3 linked regions of the Cricetulus griseus genome follow. The protein of the gene in region 2 interacts with the protein of the main gene of each other region in a biochemical or structural test. Links are inferred from orthologs where the notes say so. Each region holds a gene or a part of one and is shown on either strand. Other genes may lie near its edges.

Region 1 (7,551 bases), on a different chromosome or scaffold from region 2:
TATTCTTCTTATTGCTTCAAGACCTAAAACACCCTTGCTCCCCCCCCCCCATTTCTGTCTGTTTGGTTTGGTTTTTTGAGACAGGGTTTGTCTGTGTGTTGCCTTGGCTGTCCTGGGAACTTGCTCTATAATCCAGGCTGGCTATGAACTCAGGAGATCTGCCTGCCTCTGCCTTCTGAGTAATGGAATTAAAGGTGTGTACCATCACCGCCCAGCAACACAAAGGTTTTTATTTTGTTTGTTTTTTGAGATAGGGTTTCTCAGTTGCTTTGGAGCCTGTCCTGGAACTCACAGAGATCCACTTGCCTCTGCCACCTGAGTGCTGGGATGAAAGGCGTGTGTCACCACCTCCTGTCCACAAATGTTTTTAAAACAAAAAATAGACAAGCCAGGTATGGTGGTGCTCACTTGTAATTTCAGCACTTGGGAAGTACATAAAGATTGGAAAATCAAAAGCGGTGGTGGCGCACAGCCTTTCATCCCAGCACTCAGGAGGCAGAGGCAGGCGGATCTCTGTGAGTTTGAAGTCAGTCTGGTCTACAAAGGTACAAAGAGAAACCCTGGGGGAGGGGGGCGGGATGGACGGTGATCAAGACTGCCTCATTACACATGAGAGGCCAGCCTCAGCTTCATGAAACCCTACCTCAAAGAAAAAAACAAAAATCAGTAAGAACACACACACACACAAAAACCTGAGTATTGAGTAGTATGGATAGGGATAAAATACAGAACTGGGAATACAGTCCACTCACTGGTAGCATACTTGCCTAGCAAGGCGAGGCCCTACTACATTCAGTTCCCAACACTACAAACCAAATAACTAAAAACAGCATAGCAAATTTTAGTAACACATTAAAATCCAAGTGACAGGGCTGGAGAGGCTAAGAGCAATGCTGGCTGGCCTTGCAAAAGACCTAAGATCTGTTCCCAGTACCCACATGGTAGCTCAGTCATCTGTAACCCTAGTTTCAGGGGATCTGAAATCCTCTTCTGGCCTCGGGTTCAGGGAACATGTTGCATACATATACACATACACAGGCAAAACCCTCATAAATAAAACAATCTTTAAAATCCAAGTGAAAGCTGAGCTTAGCAGTTCAGAGCAGCACTCTTCCAAAAGACCTGGGTTTGATTCCCAGCTCCCATATGGTTGGCTCAAAACAATGTGTTAACTCCAGTTCCAGGGGATCTGATGCCCTCTTCTGGCCTCTGCAGGCACTGTGCACAAATGTAGTACACAGGCATACATACAGGCTAAACACCCATACACAGAAAATAAAATTTTAAAAATTAAAAACAATAATCTGAGTTTTTATTTTTTCTGGTTGCTTACAACTTAAACTCTGGAACCACTGAACAATAAATTCTCACTTCTACTTTCCATCCTGAGAGACATTCTACAGTTTCAGTTGATTCTGACTACTTTCCACACTCTATGTCCTTATATGCAAAGCATACATGCATGTATGTATATACATGTACATATACTTAAAATCGTCACTATTGCATACCTTCTTGACACCGTTACTTTCACTTAAGAGTATCGTGGAAATCATTCAATATCAGCACAGAGAGTTGGTTCATTCTAACAAATGCACAAACGTAACAAGTCCTCCAATATACACATGGAAACTATTTTTCCACGTCTCTTTCAGATTACAACAGCAACAGACTGCAAATTTTTAGTGTAACTGTTTAGGGTTCTCACTCATTGGACACACAAATACTAAACTTCCCCTTTGGTAACCCAATTATAAAACACAGTCTGTACAGTTCTCACCAAGTCATCCTGGAACGCAGAACCACTCAATGCTCCTTGCTTTTCTTATAGACTAGCCTTGAATTTGTTCTCATCTGGATATATAAGAGCTATCAACGTTTTTCTTTTTAAAATACCTTCCTTTCTATCAAAGCAATTTGTTTCTGAACTAGCTTGATGAAATCGATTCACACCTTTCCTCTGTTTTGAAGCTCTCTTCAAAATCTATCTGGACACTTTCTCTAGTTAAAAGCTAAGATGAGCATATACTTGTAATCCCAGCCCTCTGTGACTGAACTCAGGATCTCAAATTCAAGGCTAGTCTGGACTATATAGGCCAGATTCTAACTAAAAAATAAAAAACAAAACAAAATCTGTTTTCTAGGCTCAATAGTTAACTTCAGTTCACTTTCCAAACAGGAGTACTTAGAACATCTAACTTGGTGTAACAGAAAAAGATGAACTTTGTTATCACCTGAGAGGAAGTTTAGTAGTCCACTAACGGTAAATCAGCATCAGCATCTCAGCAAACTGAAAAGTACTGCCAAAAAATCATCTATTATAATATTGCATTAAATTTCTGTGACACACCTGAATGTAGAGTTCTAGCATAATAGATGCTAAGTAAACCCTAGTTGAATCTGATTATCTACTCTACTCTTTCATTCTTGGCCAAACTTGAGAACAGAGAATTACATTTTTAAGATTCTCCATTGGAAGCCAGGCCTTTAATCCCAGCACTCGGGAGGCAGCGTTGGGGATCTTTATGAGTTCGAGGCCAGCCTGGAAGACTGAGCAAGTTCCAAGACAGCCCCCAAAGCTACAGAGAAACCCTGTCTGGGGGGGTGGGGGTGATTCCCCCATGGGGTTTTAGAACCGGATTTGGATCTTATATTCAATATTAAAAGGTATCTTGTCTTGAATTACCTCAATATAAACCATCATGATGGCTATAGCTCTAATCTGCTAAGAGAACTTCCTTAACTGGTTCTAATTTGTTAAAAAACAAAGAACGAAAACAAGACCGAAATCTCGGAACTTCACCAACAAGATGGCTCATTTTACTCTCAAAGATGACTACACTGAACAGATTGAAGTGGGAGGCGATGCAAGCATCTCTTCGTAACTACGCACCGAGATTTACTAAATATTAAATAGATACATAGCGTTCCATTAGTTGCTAGTACATTAATAAGCAGAGACCTCAAAAGCAGGGGGGAAAAAAAAAAAAAAAAAGAGGCTAGACTGTCAGTCTGGTGAGGCGGGAGGGTCCTGGCCTGAAACCCGCAGCCTTTAAATACCAGACTAAGGCTGAGAGTCCTCCTAGACCCCAGGCCCAGAGGTCAGGGCCCGTCCCAGAGGTCAAAGATCTGGAGCCACGCGTCCAGACTGAGGGGCTGCGAGCAGAATCCCCTGAGAGAGTCTGTGTACCCTGAAGCCAGGTGCACCGCTCGCCCATAAACTCTAAAACCACGCGGGCCAGAAGAGGTACGGTGGCATTGCTTGAGTGCAGGCGCAGCTCCCACCACCTCCCACCATCCGACCCTCGGCCTCCCATACGCCCCACCAGGCCGGGCCCTCCATACTCACACTCACTGCCCGTCCTTCCTACGCCATCAGGCCGCCGAGGGCCCGGCGAGGGAGCTCCCAGATGCCCCCTTAGCCTCCGGTCCGGCGGCGGCCTGGGACCCGCTCCCCGCCGGGCACTGACGCCGCCGCCGCCGCCGCGCCGCCGCGCCGCCGCCGCCGCCGCCAGCGCGCAAGCGCACGTAGTCCGGCGCGCTCCCTCTCCCCCCACCCCATCCGCCCCTTTCAACCATCTAGCTTTATTTGAACATAAGAAGTGAACAACGGACACTGGGCAAGAGGTCTTCAAAACGCCAAGAACAACCGAAGTAGGTCCCTTTGCGTAAAGCTGTCCGCTTCACTTCCCATTTCGCCCTTCTACTTTCCAAACCCTCCGCCTGTCTTACCTAAATTTCAAAACTTTTCCTTCTTCGTGAAACTTTTGAACAGATAGACCTAGACCCCAAGTTAGACACGGTAGCTCACCCCACATTCTGGAGGTTGAGAGAGGAGGGTCAACGCGAGTTCAAAGCTAGCCAGGGCTACATAGTTTCTGGGCTACGAAGCGAAACTCTGTCTCAATAAAAACAAAACTAAATGTAAATCTTTTTTTTTCTTTTTCGAGACAGGGTTTCTCTGTGTAGCTTTGGAGCCTAAATGTAAATCTTACCCTAGCATTTATTTATTTTCGTTTTGTTTTTTGAGACAAGGTTTCTCTGTATATCCCTGCTGCCTTCGAATTTGCTCTATGTAATCAAGCCTGGCCTAAAACTCAGAAATCTGTCCCCTAATACGAGGGGTGGATTTGCTGGGATTACAGGTGTTCGCCTCTACTGTCCAACAATAATTCTTGACTTTTTTTAAGATTTATTTATTATGCATACAGTGTTCTATCTGCCTGCGCGACAGAAGAGGGCACCTGATTTCATTACAGATGGTTGTGAGCCACCATGTGGTTGCTGGGAATTGAACTCAGGACCTCTGGAAGAGCAGCCAGTGCTCTTAACCTCTGAGCCATCTCTCCACCAGTCCCTAATTCTTGACTTTAAATGATGTTTTCTTTCTTCCTTCCTTCCTTTTTTTTTTTTTTTTTTTTTTTTTTTTTTTTTTTTTGGTTTTTCGAGACAGGGTTTCTCTGTGGCGTTGGAGGCTGTCCTGGAACTAGCTCTTGTAGACCAGGCTGGTCTCAACCTCACAGAGATCCACCTGCCTCTGCCTCCCCAGTGCTGGAATTAAAGGTGTGCTCCACCAATGCCCGGCAATTGATGTTTTCTTGGAATGTCAGTTTTTAGAGTTAAAATTAGGATGTTTTGTAGCACTGTAAATAAATGACTGATACTAGGGTTCAGGCTTCAAGCTGAAGATCAGAAAAGTAAATCAGCCGGTCACTAGCTTTTACCTCTACCTCAGCTCAAACCAAAGGGGCAATCCTCAAACTGCTCTCAACTTCACTACTCCTCAGATTCATTCAGACTGCTATGCTGTCCTCAACGTGGCTAGAGACTAATACTTTAGACCCTGCTTCTATCTTTTATACCTCTCTAGTGCTGGGATTAAAGACGTAAATTCTGTTACTCTTAGATTGATTCAATCTTGTGTAGTTCTGGGTGGTCTTGAACTCAGAGAGATCTATCAGCCTTTGTGTCCTGAGTCTTGGAATTAAAGGTATGTACCACCACTGCCTGATCTCTGTAGCTTGAGGCTGACTTTGCTTTCTGATTCCTCAGGCAAGCTTGAATAAATCATAAATAATATATCACCACAATGTTTAATTTATTATTAAAATTTGAGCATCCCTATTCTTTTGGGATCCTGTTATAGTGATTATAATAAACAGTTACACTGCAGTTGATAATGAGCAGTGCAACTTCTATATGATTGAAACCATTTCCATTTAAGAAAACTATCAGAGCCACACGTGGTGGTGCTCACCTTTAATCCCAGCAGAGGCAGGCAGATCTCTGTGAATTTTAAGGCCAGCCTGGTGAGTTCCAGGACAGCCAAGGCTACACAGAGAAACCCTGTCTGGAAAAACCATATCCCCCAAAAAGAAAGGAAGGAAGGAAGAAAGAAAGAAAGGAAGGAAGGAAGGAACTATCAAAGCCTCAAATCAAAATAAACAGCTACCTTCATTTATGTGTGAATCCAGATTCATTCTAAAGGTTTATGAGAGTCTTCCAATTGTGTATTTGTGACATCACAAGTCCTTGAAGCATTCAAGGTCTGATGTACTGCTCATTCTATTTAAAGGCATGCATGATACAGAACTGCTTTGCTCTGTAAATTCAGAGCCATAGTCCAAGGGAAAGCCAATATAGGTGAGGATCAAAGTAACTCTAGATCAAGATTTCACAACTTTAAAACATCAACATTATCAGTTGCTGACTAGTGCATTCTAAGATAATGCTCCCCCAACTCTCCAGACCCTGCCCAATGTCCCCTGGAGGGCAAAAATTACCCTTTTCTGAGAACTACAGTATTATATCCATGACCATCCCAACCCTAAATGAATTCAGCCATATATTTTCTTCATCCCTGCCCTTAACAAGTGATTTGAGACAGATGAGCAAAACAGAAACTGCTGAGTTCATTTCTACAGGGAGTAAACAAGCAGTTTATAGTGCTTATCTGTCCTCTTCTCTGATCAGTTTTGGTTATCACATTCTATAGCCATACCTCCAAGCTTCTCAATTCCCTTATACTTGCAGCCAACTTTCTAATCAGCAGAGGATCTATCTCTGACTTCTCAGAAAACTTAACGTTTCTAAACCTACAGGCTTATCAATACATTTCGTCATTATAATTGAGAATATTTCTCCCTCCCCAACTCTGTGGGTTGGTCTCTTTTCCATGAATGTTCTTTTCATGTCAGTGTCTAGGGTTATTTATTTTTACATCTATTGTGTGTGTGTGTGTGTGTGTGTGTGTGTGTGTGTGTGTGTGTGTGTGTGTGTGTAGAACCATTCTTGCCATCTGGTACATACACATCTATAGAGAAGTCAGAGGACATGCAACCTGTGGGCTCCAGGAATGGAAATCAAGTGTTCACACTTGATGGCCACTGCCTTTGCCTGATGAACCATCTTGCCAGCCTCAGTCCTCTGGGCTTTATTGTTTGTTTGTTTGAGACAGAGTCTCAGGTAGCTAATGTTATCCTCAAAATTATTTTATAGTCTGTGATGACTATGTACCAGTCTCATGACGCTGAGATTATAGGCTTATGCCACTATCCTAGATCTCCTATCAGTTTGATTTTTTAAAAATTTATTTTTATTTTACATGTATGGGTATTTAGCCAGCATGAATATCTGTGTACCATCTTTGTGGTGTTTGTGGAGGCTACAGGAGGGTGTGGATCTCCTGGAACTGGAATTACAGTTGTGAACTGCTAGGTGGGTGTTGGAAACTGAATTTATGTCCTTTGGAAGAACAGCTATCTCTCCAGCCCATGATTTTATTTTATTTATTGATTTTTGAGACAAGGTATTGCTATGTAGTTCTGGCTGACCTGGAACTATGTAGACCAGGCTGGCCTCAAACTCACAAAGATCCCATTGCTTCTGCCTCCTGAGAACTGAAATCAAAGGTGAGTATCACCAACTCCCATCAGTGGTTTGAGCAATTCAGTTCTAACCCTCTCAAAATCTTTATCTAGATTATCACATACAGCCTTTTGTAAATTCAATTGTTTTTCTCAGTTGAGTCTTTTCTCCCGTGCTCAACTTTTCCTGTCTTAATTCTAACAAATTAAAAACAAATGAGACACATCATTCTTCCCTTTTCTCTGACAAGGTCAAAGTTTTCAAAAGCATTTTATAACCTGTCCTGATTTCTCTCCCTTCTCCAAACTATTGCTGTGTTTGTCAACTATCACCATTCCCCTGTGTTATTAAATTCAAAAGCGCTTATCAGTCCTCTTCTCTGGTCAGTTTTGTTTATCACATTCTACAGCCATACCTCCAAACTTTTTTATTCCCAAGAGTGCCAGCATTTTGCTTTACTCTTAGAGGTGACTGGAAGAATTCTTGGGTCAAGTGGTTTAAAAACCTTTCAGTAACTCAATGGCTATAAAATGAATTCTAGGCTCATTATTCCAAAATTTACAAGACCTCTGGCCCTCTCTCTAGCTTGATTTCGAGCTCTGCTGGCTATGGACTCAGGGCTAAGCTTCACCTGTGCTATTTAAGTGCTCTACCTTTCTCTCTTACCCACAGTTAGGCCCTACT
Region 2 (7,790 bases):
GAGATGGCTGAGCCTGTAAAAATGCTAGTTGCGAAAGCATGACAACCGACTTTCAATGATCCCAGACCCAGGTAAAAAGCCAGATGCGGTGGTGTGCCACTGTAATCCCAGCATGCCTCAAGTGAGATGGGAGGCAGAGGTAAGAGACTCCTAGTGCAGCAGCAGACGCAGACAGACCCCACCTAGGAGGAGGAAAGCCTATTCCTTAGACCTCAACATGAGTACCGTGGTGTGCATGTGCACACACGCACACACACACACACACACACACACACACACACACACTCACACTCACAGAAACAAACACATACTTTCTGAGTATTAGTGATTGACACCAGGGCTTCATGCGTGCTAAGCACAAACTCTACCACTCAGCTCTACTCTTCCCCTCATTTAAATTACACTCCTTCCCCGGGCCAGCACTTTCCCTCTTTTTATGCTGTTTTGTAAGCCTGGTGGGGTGGCCAACTCCTTTAATTACAGCACTGGAAGGCAGAATCAAGGATACCTCAGCATAGTGAGTTCCAGCGCAGTGAGATCTTGACTCAAATAAACAAAAAGTAAAACACTTATTTGGTGACTGTCTTGCCTCACTAGAATGTAAACATCTTAACGGTAGAATTTTTAGTTTAAAAGTCTGGCACACTGGTACTCAGTGTGCATCTGCTGAAAGCTTCTGAAGAGCAGCATTGCTGTTTAGACTGCAGGTACACTCATGGACTGCAATGGCACCACGCTACTGGCATGGAACAACAAGATGTTCTCATACCACAGCTACCACAGGTCCACTCTTATGGTGCATTATCCCCCATCCCTCTCCTGATTCCTTAAATAAGCTTATTCTCCTGAATCCCCACTCCTGCGCCCTTTCAAGATGCCTACCTACTCCAAACCTGACCTCCATAAATCCCAAGCACTCTTCACCATGCACCAGAGGGGCCCAGTCAAGTCACGTGAAATCTCCTCACTCAGACACTGCCTGGCATGACTTCTTCTCCACCAGAATTCCTCTTCTTCCTTTTACAAATGTTCTTTTTGTTTGTTTGTTTGTTTTTGTTTTTCAAGACAGGGTTTCTCTGTGTAGCTTTGGAGCCTATCCTGGCACTCACTCTGGAGACCAGGCTGGCCTGGAACTCACAGAGATCCGCCTGCCTATGCCTCCCGAGTGCTGGGATTAAAGGCGTGCGCCACCAACGCCCGGCTACAAATGTTCTTAAAAATATATTTTATTATGTGCCTTCATCTGTGGTATCCAAGGAGGTGGAGGGCCTCTTCCTAGAGCTGGAGTTACAGATGGTTGTGAGCCACCTGACATAGGTCACAGCTGGGAACAGCTGAATTCAGTTCCTCTGCAAAAGTGGTGTGTGCTAAGCCATCTCTCCAGTCCCTACATCATACGTTAATATATGTCTTTACTGTGTATGCACGGGGCAGGGCATGTGTGCCATGGCACATGTGTAGAAATCAGAGGACAACTCCCAGGAGTCAGTTCTCTGCACCCCATGGACCTGGGGCTGAATTGGGTTATAAAGCTTAGAAGCAGACACCTTTACCCACTGATCCGTCTTGCAGCCCCTCGCCATCTCTTAAATTCTATCTATGGGGCCAAGGATGTCCTTGCTTGTCATTTTAACTTACATTTATTTATCATTTATTTATTTATTTTTGGTTATTCAAGACAGGGTTTCTCTGTAGATCAGGCTGGCCTCGAACTCAGAGATCCGCCTGCCTCTGCCTTCACACTTGGCTCTTATTATTATTCTTTGATTTATGTGCATTGGTGTTTTACCTACATGTATGTCTATGTGAGAGTGTTAGATCCCCTGGAACTGGAGTTACAGATGGTTGTGAGCTGCCATGTGGGTGCTGGAAATTAAATCTGGGGCCTCTGGAAGAGCAACCAGTGCTCTTAATTACCATTTTTTATTTCTCTCTCTTCTTCCCTGAACAAAGCTATTAGTGACCAAGTCCTACATGAGAAATATCTTTGTTCCCTTTTCAGTCCAAATTCCCCATTTCAGTTTTGGGAAAATATGTCTCTCATAGCCAGGACAGAGTCATGTCTGACATAGCAAATTCTCTTTGAATGGCGGTGGCATGGTGTTATAATGGATTGAGAATTTTGTGACTGGGATCCTCTACCTAGACCAAATAAGCATAAAGGAAATTCATCAGGACAGAGATCCCAGATTCAACGGTCTGTAAGGGTTGCCCAGTCACCAGTTAGTAATCTAAGAAACACTTGATGAAATGTCCTAGTTCTAGGAAAATGAAACCAACCTGGGTTTTTTTCATTCTTGTGTTGACTGAGTTATAATTCTCATCAGCTTCTTCCTTCTGAGGCTCTATGGCTGTGGGAGAAATACGAGGGTTGATGGAAAGAAAAGCTTGCCCTGAGACTTCTAAAAATTGGCTGGGAGGCTAACTGATTTCTGTCTGGGCTAGCCTGATCTACCTACTGAGTCTCAAAAAATAATTAAAAAATTGAAAATACATAATAAAAAATTTTAAATGAATCAAAAAAAATTGTTTGGGTACCAGAATACAGGGCCACATCTACATTCCAGCCACATAATAAGGAAGTTCTTGTCTTCGTAGGATTTTTTTTTACAAAGTGACTTATGAGCAGGGATATATTTTAGTAGTGACACATGATGGAGGAGGAAGGGGGAGGAGGAGGAAAAAAGAAGGAACTAGGAGGAAGAAGAAAGAAGGAAGAAGGGGGTGAGATCAGCCAACTGGACCTGGTTACGGCAGGCCTTTAATCTCAGCATTCAAAAGGCAGGGAAAGATGGATCTCTGTGAATTTGAGGCCAGCCTGGTCTACATAGGAGGAAGAGGTGAGGGAGGGGGAGGAGGAGGCTAATTCTGATCTTCTAAGAGAAGTTTTTCTTTGTATTACATCAGTGGGTTCCCACAAGAGTGAAGGAGCCTCCTAAGAAACCCTCATCCATCTGCTCAAAGAACACACACTGGGCTTCAAGAACTGTAGCAGCAAGTAGTTTTGAATTTAGATGTAAAAATAGTAATAAAGGAATCTGAGAGGCCAGCATGTAATATATGCAAAGTACCAAGGCTTAGATGCCACAGGGCAGAGATCCTAGACCCAGACCTGCTCTGTGACCTGATATATCACTTGACTCCCCAGATACACGAGCATCAGGGCTGAATCACTGGGGATGATCTGGCTGAGGCCCTTGAAGTTCATTCACCTTTTAGCTGTGCCCGGACCTCTCTCCCCAGCTGTTTGATCTCCTCGCGCAGGTTCTGCAGGCCCTGCTTCATGCCTAAATGAGAGAAGGCCAACACTTCCAAACCACAGCCTCCACCACAAACCAAAACCAACCCCACCCCCGGCCAACATCTATATAGGACTACATCCCCCATAATCCACCGGGCTGGCGTACGTGAACCCGGGTTTCGCTTACTCTCCTCGGGAAGGGGCGTGGCCAGAATGGTGACCTGCTGTTTCTCCAACTCCCGGACTTTACTCTCCAGTTTGGCCATAGTTTGCCGAATTGCCTGGACCTAGAGAGGATCACCAAGGGAACTGAAGACATAAGTGGTACTGTAGTCCTCCCTACTGCTCGGTCCTCCGGGCCTTACCTTCTGGAAGAACTCGTCATCTGGGCTGCCCAGCCGGGCGGTACCTGGGTGCACCACCAGCGCGACTCGAGCCTCATCTTCGTCGTCCGAGCTGTTGTCCCCCTGCCAGGGCCGGAGTCATTGGCACCACTCGCTCGCCGCGGTTCTCGCCCCGCAGGAGCTATGGGCTTCCGGGATTTTCCTTCCTGGCCGTCAGCCACCCCTCCCGGACCCCAAACCAGGAGTCCTCAGTCCTGCGCGCCCGCCGGGCCCCAGCTCCTCACCTGCCTCAGCTCATGGGTCCTGTCGCGCATGGCGGCCCGAGCGCCCGGTCCCTGGACCTGAGCCCCGAGGGCCTCAAGGTTCTAAGTTTGGAAGTCCTGCACGAGCTCTCTCTCACTTGACACCCCCTTCCTCACCCTGCGAACCCCCAACGCCCCCACGAGCCCCCAGAGGTCCCGCCCCTTTCACCATGCACAGTCGCCGGGGAGAACCCGACCATAGGACCCCCAAAGTTCTACAGGTTGGAATTCCCTTCTCTTCCCCCCATCCTGCTCCCGCAGCCGCAGCCCCGCCCCTCGGGAGGATGACTCGGAGCATGCGCACGAGGTCTTGTCTCTTCCTCGCTAGGGGGAAAAGGCGGAGGTCGGAAGCAGTCGCGGCCGAACGGAAGCGAGGCCGCCTGGATCGAGAGCCCGTCCGCCCCCCCCCCCTTTCTACCGGAACATCTCATATTGGGACTGGAATCTAGTTGCCCAAAGGGTTGGGGATGCGTCATTTGCACGCAGTCTGAGAGCCTCGTATCTCACATCACCCCATGGCGCCCCCTCATCACGTGACAGACCTGGCCCCGCTCCGCCGGCTGCACGCCCGACAGCCGGTCACGTGTCCCGGCGCTGTCAGCGACGTCTCGGACTTCAGTCTCGCGACGTCCCCGATACCCCTGAGTCTGAGCTGTACCCCTTGCAGAAGGTGGGGAGGGGTACACCGACAGCTCTCAGCCACCTACAGAGGAGACCCTTGTAGACTTCACTTTCTGTTTTAATTTGGGGCCCTAGGGCGTGGGCGATCTGAAGACTTAAATTTGGGGGCTGTCAGTATCACGAGACCTTGAGAGTCAGAACATAATGAGATCGGAGGCTACAGCGTCAGAGGATTGCAGGGTTTTGTAGGCAGACAATCTGGGGGTGGGAAGTGACCTCAGCCAAGGTGGAACTCTTCCCCCTACACACCCTGCGTCCTCCTGGCACAGCCTCTGACAGGTGGGCGGCCTACGCCCTGTGTGAGCACTGCAGTCCCGCTGAGCTCGCCACCTTCAGATTTCAGAGCAGCTCAGACTGAGAGGAATGTATTGTTACCTCCGCAGCCCTGAAGTCCTAGCATGACTTGCTTTTCTTTTACGGAGTCCCCAGCACCAAATTCAGAGCTTGCTACATAATAGGCCCTCACAGCCTTGATCCGAATAGGAGCCTTTCATGTATCTGAAACTAAAGCCTGTGGCTTCTCTCACCGTCCCATTTCCCCAGGTTTGTCTCTCTGGACATATTTATTGGGCACATACTATAGAGCAGATATGTTTTAGGGGCTGGTGACACATCAGAAGCCAACAGACTAAAACCCCATGCACTTGTGGGGCTGTGATGCTTTTCCCTTTAGAAACTCCTGGATTTGGAAATGAGGGGGTGAGGATAATATGGCCCTGACCACCCCGCAGAGGGATGCGGTGTTGGTGGGCTTCTCAGGAGGCCCAGCTCTGCCTAGTGTGGTCCCCTGAAAATAATGTGGAGAAAAGTGCCTACTGTGGGGCCTGACTTTCAAGGTGTCATGATGCTGTCAGCCCCCAAATGGAAGTCTTCAGTTTGTCCATGCCCCTGGGGAACCCCCCAAAACAAACCAAAACATGAATTCTGCAAGGGTATCTTTGCCTATTAACTGCTGCCTCCCTGTTCAATTGCTACTTCCCTCCTACTCATCCCCTCCCTCTGACTCTCTGTTAGTATTACAAGGGGGGGCGAGTCGGGAGGTGACCTTAGCCTGTCTCCTAGCCCTGTATGTGATCGAGAATGTCTCACTGTTTCCCTCAGAGATGCAATTTTCCCTCTTGACATCTTGGTCTGACAGTTTCTTCCTTGCTTAGGGTAAGGATTGGAGGACATCAAGAAAGGTTAGGAAAGATGTGGTAGGTCTTGTAGACTGTTAAAGCTCTTATGTGAGCTTTGCTGCTGTGAGCTTGTGAGTTCTGCCTCTCTCTCTCTCTCTCTCTCTCTCTATCTCTCTCTCTCTCTCTCTCTCTCTCTGCCTTTCAATCATACCTGCCCATTTCCCAGCCTCTTGGCCTCCAGCGGCAGTGTGGAGTTTTTGGTGCTTCTATTAAAGCATCTCAGGCTTATAATATTCACTATTATTTCATTTGTGGTCTCTGGGTGTGATCACAGGTATTAAGATGATAACTTAAGGTTTAGGACACTGGGACCTCAGTATTTTCTGACTGTCAAGGTCTCATGATGCTGACAGCCCCCAAGTGGAGTGATGTTTGCCTCCGCTGAATGCTGTGTTCCGCCTAGGCCCTTTGTAGCCTTGAGTCCCAGGTTTATATAGTGGGTCTTGGGTGTGTAAGTATTAGTAGAGTATATACTTCTTCCGTTCTGTCTGAAACTCAAGCTGTCCATGGTCCTGAGGCTAGCAGCCTGTCCTGTCCTCACTGCCTCAGGTCTGATCCTCCCAACCCCAGCACCAGATGACCTGGGCTGGGATTCCTGCTCATTCAGCTCTATGAGGCAAGTCATTTAACCTCTCTGCTTTAGTTCCCATCTGAAAAGGAAAGGAGAGCAATAGCATTAAACTCCTAGTGTTTGATAAGTATTAAATAAGAAACAAGAATAGAATGGTGCCCACTGTGGCTGTCGAGTGTGCTTGCTATTGCTAGATGGTGATGATGGTGGAGACTGTTCCACTGAGGATTTCAGTAGCCCAAAGTCTGTGCCAGAAATTCCACTCTGCCGATTGTCCAGGATCTTCCTTCCGAGCCCCACTGTGCACCAGGTGCTCAGGCAGCAGTTTTGCCAATCCTGTATATCTCTTCTGTTTCCACCAGCACCTCTCAGGCCCTATATTTTGCTTACCTCTAGAATATAAACTTTAGAGGACAGGAGTTTTCACCTGCCTTATTCACTGCTGAGTCCCCAGTATCCACAACAGTACCTGGCACATACTAACTAGCTAGTCATGAATGAATGGAATTCTTTCTTTTGCATTTAATATTTGTATAACATTTAATATATCTGTGAGGCACCAATATAAACATTTTATAATTTTAATTCATTGAGCTTGGCATGGTAACACATGCCCATAATCCCAGTACTTGAGAAGTAGCATCAGGAGGATGAGGAGTTCAAGGCCAGCTTCAATTACTTACCAACTTTGAGGCAAATGGAGGTTACATGAAACCTCGTCTGAAGAAACAAAACAAGGGCTGTGTGTGGTAGCTTAGCTGGCAGCGCACAGAGAACAAGCATGAAGTCCTGGGTTTTCCCCTAGTCCCACATAAACCAGGACAGTGATACCCATTTGTAATCCCAGCACTCAGGAAGTGGAGCCAAGAGAATCAGAAGTTCAAGATCATCCTAAATTACATAATGAGTTTGAGGTCTGCTTGGGCTACAAGAAAATCTAGGAAAAAGAAAAGCATTGCAAGCCACATGACAATTCTATGAGATAGAGGCACTGTCGCTGTCTTTCTTTTCCAGAACAGAAAACTTGAACTGATATACCCAAGGTTACATATCTAGTAAGTGCCCTTAGGATTTGAAGCCAGACCGGCTCTAGGGTCTGTCCTTAGTGTGTTGGTTTTGTTGAGTTTCTTGCTGAATACCTGTACAGCAGACAGACCTGGCCAGAGGGGGAGTGGGAAATGAACTGCCAGACAGAAGGACTCCCCCCACCCCCACCCCTGCCCTCCTTCAGATGTTTTGTTTTTGAGGTAGGTTCTGTGTATGCAAATCTGAAGCTCACTGAATAGTGGGGCTGAGTAGAGAGGTGTGGGGTTACAGAACTATGCCACCATAACTAGGGTTATGCATTGCTAGGGACTGAACCCAGGACTTTGGGCATGTGAGGTCAGCACTCTGCCAGTGAGCTACACCCTAGCCCCAGGGCCTGTGCTGTATACAACTAAGGTCACCATCTGGGGACTGGGACTCAGAGTT
Region 3 (7,525 bases), on a different chromosome or scaffold from region 2:
CAAATAGTAGTGACAAACATCCCAGCAAGTGGCCTGTTGTCTGGCTGTTCTCATGGTTCTCATCAGGAGGGCTGTCATTGCTTTCTCTGCTTTAAAATGCTGTGTGTCTGAGATCTGTCACTCACCATCCATCCATCCAAGACACCGATAAGCATGCATTTGAGAGTGAGACAAAAGTATGGGGACTCCTGGTGAGGGGTGGGAGTGGGGAAAGCGTGAAAGCAAGGAATACAAGAACATCTACCACATGGCTTCTCTACCAGCCTGCCACCTGCCCATCAACTAGCCCCTGGCAGGTTGCTGGCAGCCTGGAGCCAGGAGCATACAGCTGTTCTTCTCCTGCTAAGAATAGCAAATTTGAAAGATCACCAAGGAAACACAGAGAGAGAGAGAGAGAGAGAGAGAGAGAGAGAGAGAGAGAGAGAGAGAGAGAGAGAGAGAGAGCTCGTCCACGACTAAGCCCAGAAGAGTGGGAAATGGCAGTTTACTATAGGGTTGAAAGCACATGAACCCTGCTTTCTAATACAGTGACCAACTAAGAGTAAAAGCCGGTAATAGCTCATTGAAGGAGAAGATGACACAAGAAAGAACAAACATCACATTACAAAGACAGCCAAGGTCAGGTGTGTCCTTGCTTGTTCTCTGGTGGCAGTCCTTGGAGAGTTGCTGCTTGGAGACCAGCACCTCCACACTCTGCTGGTTTCCCTGGTTTCCGCTTCCAGCAGTGCTCAGCTAGCTCCTCAGCAGCATGTCTGATGCCAGCCATTACTAAAGGAAGGAGAGGTACCAGAGCCTAGATTTGTTCTATTCTTAACAGAGGATATGAGGCTACTCTTAACAAAGGGTATGAGGATATTTTACACAAACAGACTGTCTGTATATTAAGGCCTGGCATCCTTAGCAAACAAAGAATTTTCTATAATTGACACACCTATGATGTAAAAGCTCAGAAATGAACTTTAAGCAATAAAGCTCGGGGAAGGTGATGATCTTGCCCACAGCCACTCAGGTCCTAGTTCATACTAGCATTCTTCCTGTTTAGGGTCCCTCCATTAGAAGACTTTCTTTATAAGGCTGGCTAATGCAGGGTGCTAATAATATGTACCACTTCTGCATCCCAGAGGAATTCCATCTTAGCAGCTAAGAAAGTGGTATGACTGTGTCATACACATCCAGTCACATCACTCATGTTGTTAACTATGGAATCATGAGTGTCTCTGGCCAGCAGCCAGCTTTCCTCTCTTCGAGGATTCAAATGACCCAAGTTCCTGCTATCCTGTGGCTCAATCATCCTCTGTTGCCCTGATTTTGCTGACAGGAAAACCATGTGAGTTCAATATCAACTTCTGAATGTCCTCTATTTGACTGGAACACACACCATCTCCATTTAGGTGCCATCTCTAGCTATGTAGCCATCTCCTCAAAAATACTAGAAATGTAATTCTAGCTATACAACCATTCTTCAAAGACCATGTTCTTTGAAAACCAAGAAGAAAGATGCTTGACCATCTCAAATGCAAGTCACAAACCCAGGCCTTCATCACGTATGCTGTCCAAAAAATGTTGGCATAGCCTCAAAGACATCTAAGACTCTTCCTCAGGTCCTTTTGGGGACATTACTCCCTTAGAGGGGCTAACTATGTCCTCATAGGCATGATGCCTGACTCCTGTGCTAAGAATTAAGAATTCCTTCATTTTCTTCTTCCTAATTAGATGTAGTTCTGTGAAGGTGGTGAATTCACCTTTCTTGTTCATCATTGTCTCCCTGACACAATGATGTCAGGTGTGCTCAGTGAGTCCTTGAGAATGAAGAAGGATGGGAAGTAAAGAGAGAAGTGTGGCCAGGCGGTGGTGGCGCCTTTAATCCCAGCACTTGGGAGGCAGAGACAGGTGGATCTCTGTGAGTTTGAGACCAGCCTGGTCTACAAGAGCTAGTTCCAGGCAGCCTCCAAAGCCACAGAGAAACCCTGTCTCGAAAAATCAAAAGAGAGAGAGAGAGAGAGAGAGAGAGAGAGAGAGAGAGAGAGAGAGAGAGAGAGAGAGAGAAGTGTGTTCTGGAAGAATCAGGATCCTCCTATGTGTATGTGTTTCAGAGTGGGCTGGTCACATTTCAAGGCCCTGGGCTCATTCCACTTTGGAATAACAGTTGTTTACCTGCACACAATCTTGACAACCTCTAATAACAATGCTGAATGCTTCTAAATACAATGGGATGTTACACACAAACAAATAGGAATGGTCTAGCAATTGTGCTATCATATGGGAAAATTTCAATATAATACCAAGTGGAAAAGCCAAGTGTTTCATTTATACATAATCCTAAGACATACCAACTATAGTGACAAAAGGGAGGTCAACAGCTTCCTCGACATAGGAGGATGTAGAGAATAGCAGGTAGAATAACAAAGAGTATACAGAAATTTGGTGGGGGATTAATGGACTGGCTCATTTTCTTTTTCAGAGCAGTGGGTTACTGAGTGTTTTACAACTGTATGATTTAGATATGTGCGCTGTATTTAAATGTGTATGTTTTTAAATATGTCAACTGTTTCTCAATAAAACTGTTAAATATAACTAAATAAATATAACATTAAAAAATATAAGAACAATGGCCTGCATTGTTCACCACATCATTCCCAAGCTTTGTATGGTTTGCGTCTTTAAAAAAATACTCTAGATGAAGCCATTTATGTTCCTGTGAACCTGCTGTGGTGATATGTTATTTATGATTTATTAAAGCTTGCCTGAGGAGTCAGAAAGCAAAGTCAGCCACAAGCCATAGAAGCCAGGCACACTTCTTTAATCCCAGAAGCCAGAAGCTAGGAAGTGGAGGTACATACCTTTAGTCATAGGACTAAGATTAAGAGGTAAACAGATCTCTGTGAGTCCAAGACGACCCAGATCTACACAAGAAGTATCCAGTCCTAAAGAGAGAAACAGCTCACATAAAGATGATCCCAGCACCTGGGATCACACACCTTTAATCCCAGCATTAGGAAGGTATATAAGACAGGAACTAGGTCTCAGTGTCAGGTATTCATTCTCCAGCCACATTGAGAATAGGAATGCCTCAGCCTTGTTAGAGGTAAGAGCACTTTGGTAGCTTGACTGCTTTGCTTCCCTGATCTTCAGGTTGAACCCCAATATCTGTCTCTGGGTCCATTTATTTTTCATGTTACAACCTGTAATTGAAACACTCAGAAGCTGAAGCAGAAAGATGGTGAGCTCAAGGCCAACCTGGACAACAATGCCAAGCTATCATAAAACATACCAATATGTGACTGTTTTAGTGATGGGGTTGATAAAACACTCATTCCCAGTACTTTTTGGAGAAATGACACAATTCTATTGATTCTTATCTGCGCTTGGCTTCCAGTTCAGAAGTTATCTAAACCCTGGTGACAGTGTGACACTTAGACTTTCCAGTATGCAGTCATTCATATTAGCTCTCATATTCTCCAATATGCTTCTACTCAGGTTCTGTAGCCAAATCCATTGCTGACTTGCTGGTCCAGGTGCCCAGCAACCCCCTACCATTACCATGGCCGAAGACGCAGATATGCGCAATGAGCTGGAAGAGATGCAGAGGAGGGCTGACCAGCTGGCTGATGAGGTAAGGCATAGAGAGGCAGGGGGCAAGCCCAACACTGGAAGGTGGGTGGTTTCAATTCAGATTTTGAGAAAAGAATTCTTCAATGTCTAATTTTTTTTTTAAGGTGAAAAAAGAACTTCCTTTTTCTCTAAGATTCCTGCAGGCTAGACAGGATTGATTATAAGGCGCAAATACAAATTAACATCTCAGCCCTGAGGCAGGACTCCTAGACACTTGGGAGGGCAGGGTCCTCTAGGAAAAACTTTATCTTTAGATACCTAACAGTATGCCATGGTTACCTCAGTAATGAAGGTTACTAAGTGTGGCTATTACTAAAATTGAAGTACATAATTTGAAAATAAATATATATAATTAAAGCAATGGTATTATGAGCTCAAAAGTCATTACTTGTAGCTAGTTTAGCACATTTTTTCTGCTATCTATGCCCTTGAGTCATTTACACTCACTGTATGTAAGAAATGGAAACTGCAGAGTCAGTTTACCACACTGCACTCAGAAACCAAATCAAAAGCAATTATTGAGAACCAGTCATTGGCAAACAATATCAGTTGTGCTTGCTTTATTGTTTGTTGATTACCTATAGTTAAGACAGAAGGGAAAATATTAATAATCTAGATAAAACTTTTTAATTATGTATGTCTGTAGCTATTACATTAAGAAAATAATATACAGAGTTGGGTGGGGAGGGAGGGTTGGATCAGGGAGGAGCTAGGGGTAAGAGTGGAAGAGGTGAATATGATCAAAATTCATTGTAAGGCATTCTCAAACAGTAAAAATGTTTTTGAAATATAAGAAATTTTGAGGAAGTCCTCCATTATTTGGAAACTTATTTTTCAACAAAAACATCACCTTCTTTACTAATGAGACTAATTCTAACATTAAGTCGTCACTGCTTCAGGTTCTTCTTATTCATGAACATGAGTGAAGTTATCCAGTTGCAGTGACCATGTTAGAATTATACTAGTTCATCATATGAGGAGTCATAGATAGACAACACACACACACACACACACACAAAAAAAAAAAAAACTGACAGGAGTTTTGGGTGAGAATCAACCTGCTACACAGAACTGCTAACCAAGGATGCTGTGTTGCATCATGTGTCAACTCTGTGCTCTCTGTGTTTCACAGCCTTACAATAGATGCAAAGATACATAAATGTATTTATATTTTTTCCCAGAGTCAGAGCATTTTGCCAACACATCACTGATAATAGCTATTTTATTACAAAAGGGAGTCCACTTTAAGTCCATTGCAGCAAAAATTCACATCCTTCAGGCTCCTGCAGAAACTTGTCCAACATAAATTTGCTATTTGAAAGCATGGTTTTGAGAAATCACACTGGTTGTTGCAGTGGAGCTATGTTAAAGGAACTGAGAACAAAGTGGTGATGCTGTGCCTGAGGGACCAGCTGCCAAGCTCAAAGCTTTCTTCATGCTTTTTTTCTTATCTAAAAATGAAGGTAATTACAGCTGTCTCCTATGGGATAGTTATTGCAAACTTGCTTGATTTTTTTTCACCCTAAGGCGACAGCTTAATTTGTATTGATAACAACTTCCAGTTGTGTTTCAAGGAGTTTTAAAGGAAACTCGTTAAACTCATCTCTCCTCATGAAAACTTATGTTTGTGTTTAAAATTCAATATCCCTAGTTCAGGGAGGCCAAAGTAGTCCTTGAAGTATATGAGATAGTTTTCCAGGCATCCAGAGCATACAAAATGATTTGTCCAGATTGCTTTGCCTTTGATATCAAGATCAGCCTCATATGGTTTTGGTTTTATAAAGATAAGCTTTCATATGATTGCTCTGGGAAATCTGATCATGTAGAAAGAGATTGAAACTGGGAAGACATTTGGTGTTTCTGTTGCAAAGTGTAAGTCATGTGTGATAGGGACCTTTGTGTTTCTCATGTGAAGAAAGCATTTCTGACTTGCCTAGTGCTCTGTTAGTGCCTTTAACAGTGTTTATGTTTTTCCATCTTAGTCCCTGGAAAGCACCCGTCGCATGCTGCAGCTGGTTGAAGAGGTAAGGAGTGGATTCTATTAACATAAACTAGGTCCCTATGTTGACATGTTCATTCCTAGCTCCTATTGTTTTTCCCTAAACCATGGCTCCCTGGCTTCCAATATGAACATAGCGTATCAGAAAATACTGGAGATTTTGGCATGAGTTGTTAGCTAGTTATCAAGGTGACCTCACCACCCTCCAGCCTAGGCTACCTCTGCAGTGCATAGTACAGAGAAACCTACTATTTCTAAGCTCCTGTTCCCAACAGTCACAAAAGTGGGTCCCAGTAAGCAAAGTGGTGCTTAATCTATGAAGGAATTACCTACATAAAAGTCTTCATTTGTAATGATTTTGTTGCAATATATTACAGCTAATCTAAAATTCTTTTCTGACTCCAACTATATTTATAACTTTGAAAAATATGTATTTATGCAAGCATATCATCTTTTGAAATTGTTGTATTTAGTGTCCAGCACGAAAATCTAAGAAAAAATAGCAAAAATCTTAAACAAAGAGAAAAATCTAGTCCAATTAAGTAAATATAAAAGTTCTTTTATGTGACTGACTCTGAATTGCACATCCATTTCTAAAGCATTTGTAATTCATGGTTTAATGAATCCCAAACCATTTTTAAATGGATAAAATAGGGCAGATAGCAATAATGGAATCAAAAAAGCATTTGCAATAAAACCTACTCATTCCAATTTGGTAGAACAGCAGTCAACCAGGAAGAATAAATGGATTAATTGAACTTGCCCATTGGGAGAGATGGAGTTGAAAAAGAATGGGCTGGACTGTATTTATCTTAACCTAATAAAACAAGCCTAATGGTTTTTATTCAGCAAGATGCTGCTTTAGCCACAGTTTCAATGTGACTGCTTATCAATGTATAAATTCATGTGTGATTATCTTTTCTAGAGATCTTGGGCTTTCTCTGGCAGAATGATTAAATGAGCCTATTCACCCACCCTATGCTACTATAAATTGCTTATGCAATGACATGAAAGGGAAAGAAAAAAAGAGATGAATTTTACAAAGACTTAGAGAAAAGCCAGCTGCCTCTTACAGCATTGGAGCAAATGCTGTTTTCCTTTATTCCTGAAGCTGCAGCTCCTCACCTAGGGGTGAAGTGTGGCTAAAGGTGAATGACCACAGGAAGAGTGGGAAGAAGTAATGATTCCTTCACTGAAAAAAAAAGTCTGTTATTTCAAAAATAACAAACTGAGCTTGCATTGCAGCACAAATGGGCCTCCACAGAGAGGCAGGCCTACAGGGCCTCAGCAGCATAGCCAAGCAGCCTTCTACTCTAAATGAAGGGAAGTGTCTGATTTTCTCTGGTCTAGGGACACTACTCATATGGAAATGCTTAAATACCAAGAAGGAGGCAAATAGCCCAATCCAGGAGTGCTGGCCATTTGGCATTAATGTGTTATTTTCCAATGTGTTGCAAGCAAAACACAAAAAAGAGCAAGAGCTTGGAACATTTTTACATGAGCTGAGATTAACATGAAGGGAGCTCACTATTTAATGGCTATAATTATTTTATTGTATGCTACATTATTATCACAACATAGTTCATGACCTACAACCAGAGAACTCACTTTTCACTTTCTTATGTAAATACATGTATATATGATTGCGTTCCTCTAGCTCTTTCCAACTTGCTCAGTTGTGCGCTGTTGAAACTTTGCTCAGACTATGGAACACAGTGGAATAAATGCATTGGAATGCACCCCTTTAAACTAGCCCTTTGTCCTTCAAAATCTTGCGAACATGAACCCTTCTCTCTTGCATGTCTTCTCAAAATGAAAGTAGTGTCAGCCTGTCTTGCAAAAAATCTGTTTGCTCTAATTTATTCTAAGAATAAAAGCTCCATTGATTGAAGTAGGATTCTCGAATTGTATGTT

Evidence for each region. The genes of interacting proteins can lie anywhere in the genome.
Region 1: the proteins of Stx4 (region 2) and Snap23 form a complex in vitro, tested with the Homo sapiens proteins (4 studies listed by BioGRID). The link is inferred for Cricetulus griseus from reciprocal best matches to the Homo sapiens genes STX4 and SNAP23.
Region 3: the proteins of Stx4 (region 2) and Snap25 form a complex in vitro, tested with the Homo sapiens proteins (3 studies listed by BioGRID). The link is inferred for Cricetulus griseus from reciprocal best matches to the Homo sapiens genes STX4 and SNAP25.

Annotation. Positions count from the first base shown.
Region 1 is NC_048599.1:57,909,802-57,917,352, reverse strand, and holds the start of Snap23 (synaptosomal-associated protein 23), read left to right. Parts: upstream 1-3,567; 5' UTR 3,568-3,654; intron 3,655-7,551. UniProt on the Homo sapiens protein: Essential component of the high affinity receptor for the general membrane fusion machinery and an important regulator of transport vesicle docking and fusion.
Region 2 is NC_048596.1:72,931,441-72,939,230, forward strand, and holds the start of Stx4 (syntaxin-4), read right to left. Parts: upstream 4,031-7,790; 5' UTR 3,900-4,030; coding exon 3,870-3,899; intron 3,709-3,869; coding exon 3,607-3,708; intron 3,551-3,606; exon of another isoform or gene 3,529-3,550; coding exon 3,429-3,528; intron 3,288-3,428; coding exon 3,213-3,287; intron 2,352-3,212; coding exon 2,281-2,351; intron 1-2,280. UniProt on the Homo sapiens protein: Plasma membrane t-SNARE that mediates docking of transport vesicles. Necessary for the translocation of SLC2A4 from intracellular vesicles to the plasma membrane.
Region 3 is NC_048599.1:41,903,547-41,911,071, reverse strand, and holds the start of Snap25 (synaptosomal-associated protein 25), read left to right. Parts: upstream 1-3,541; coding exon 3,542-3,613; intron 3,614-5,594; coding exon 5,595-5,636; intron 5,637-7,525.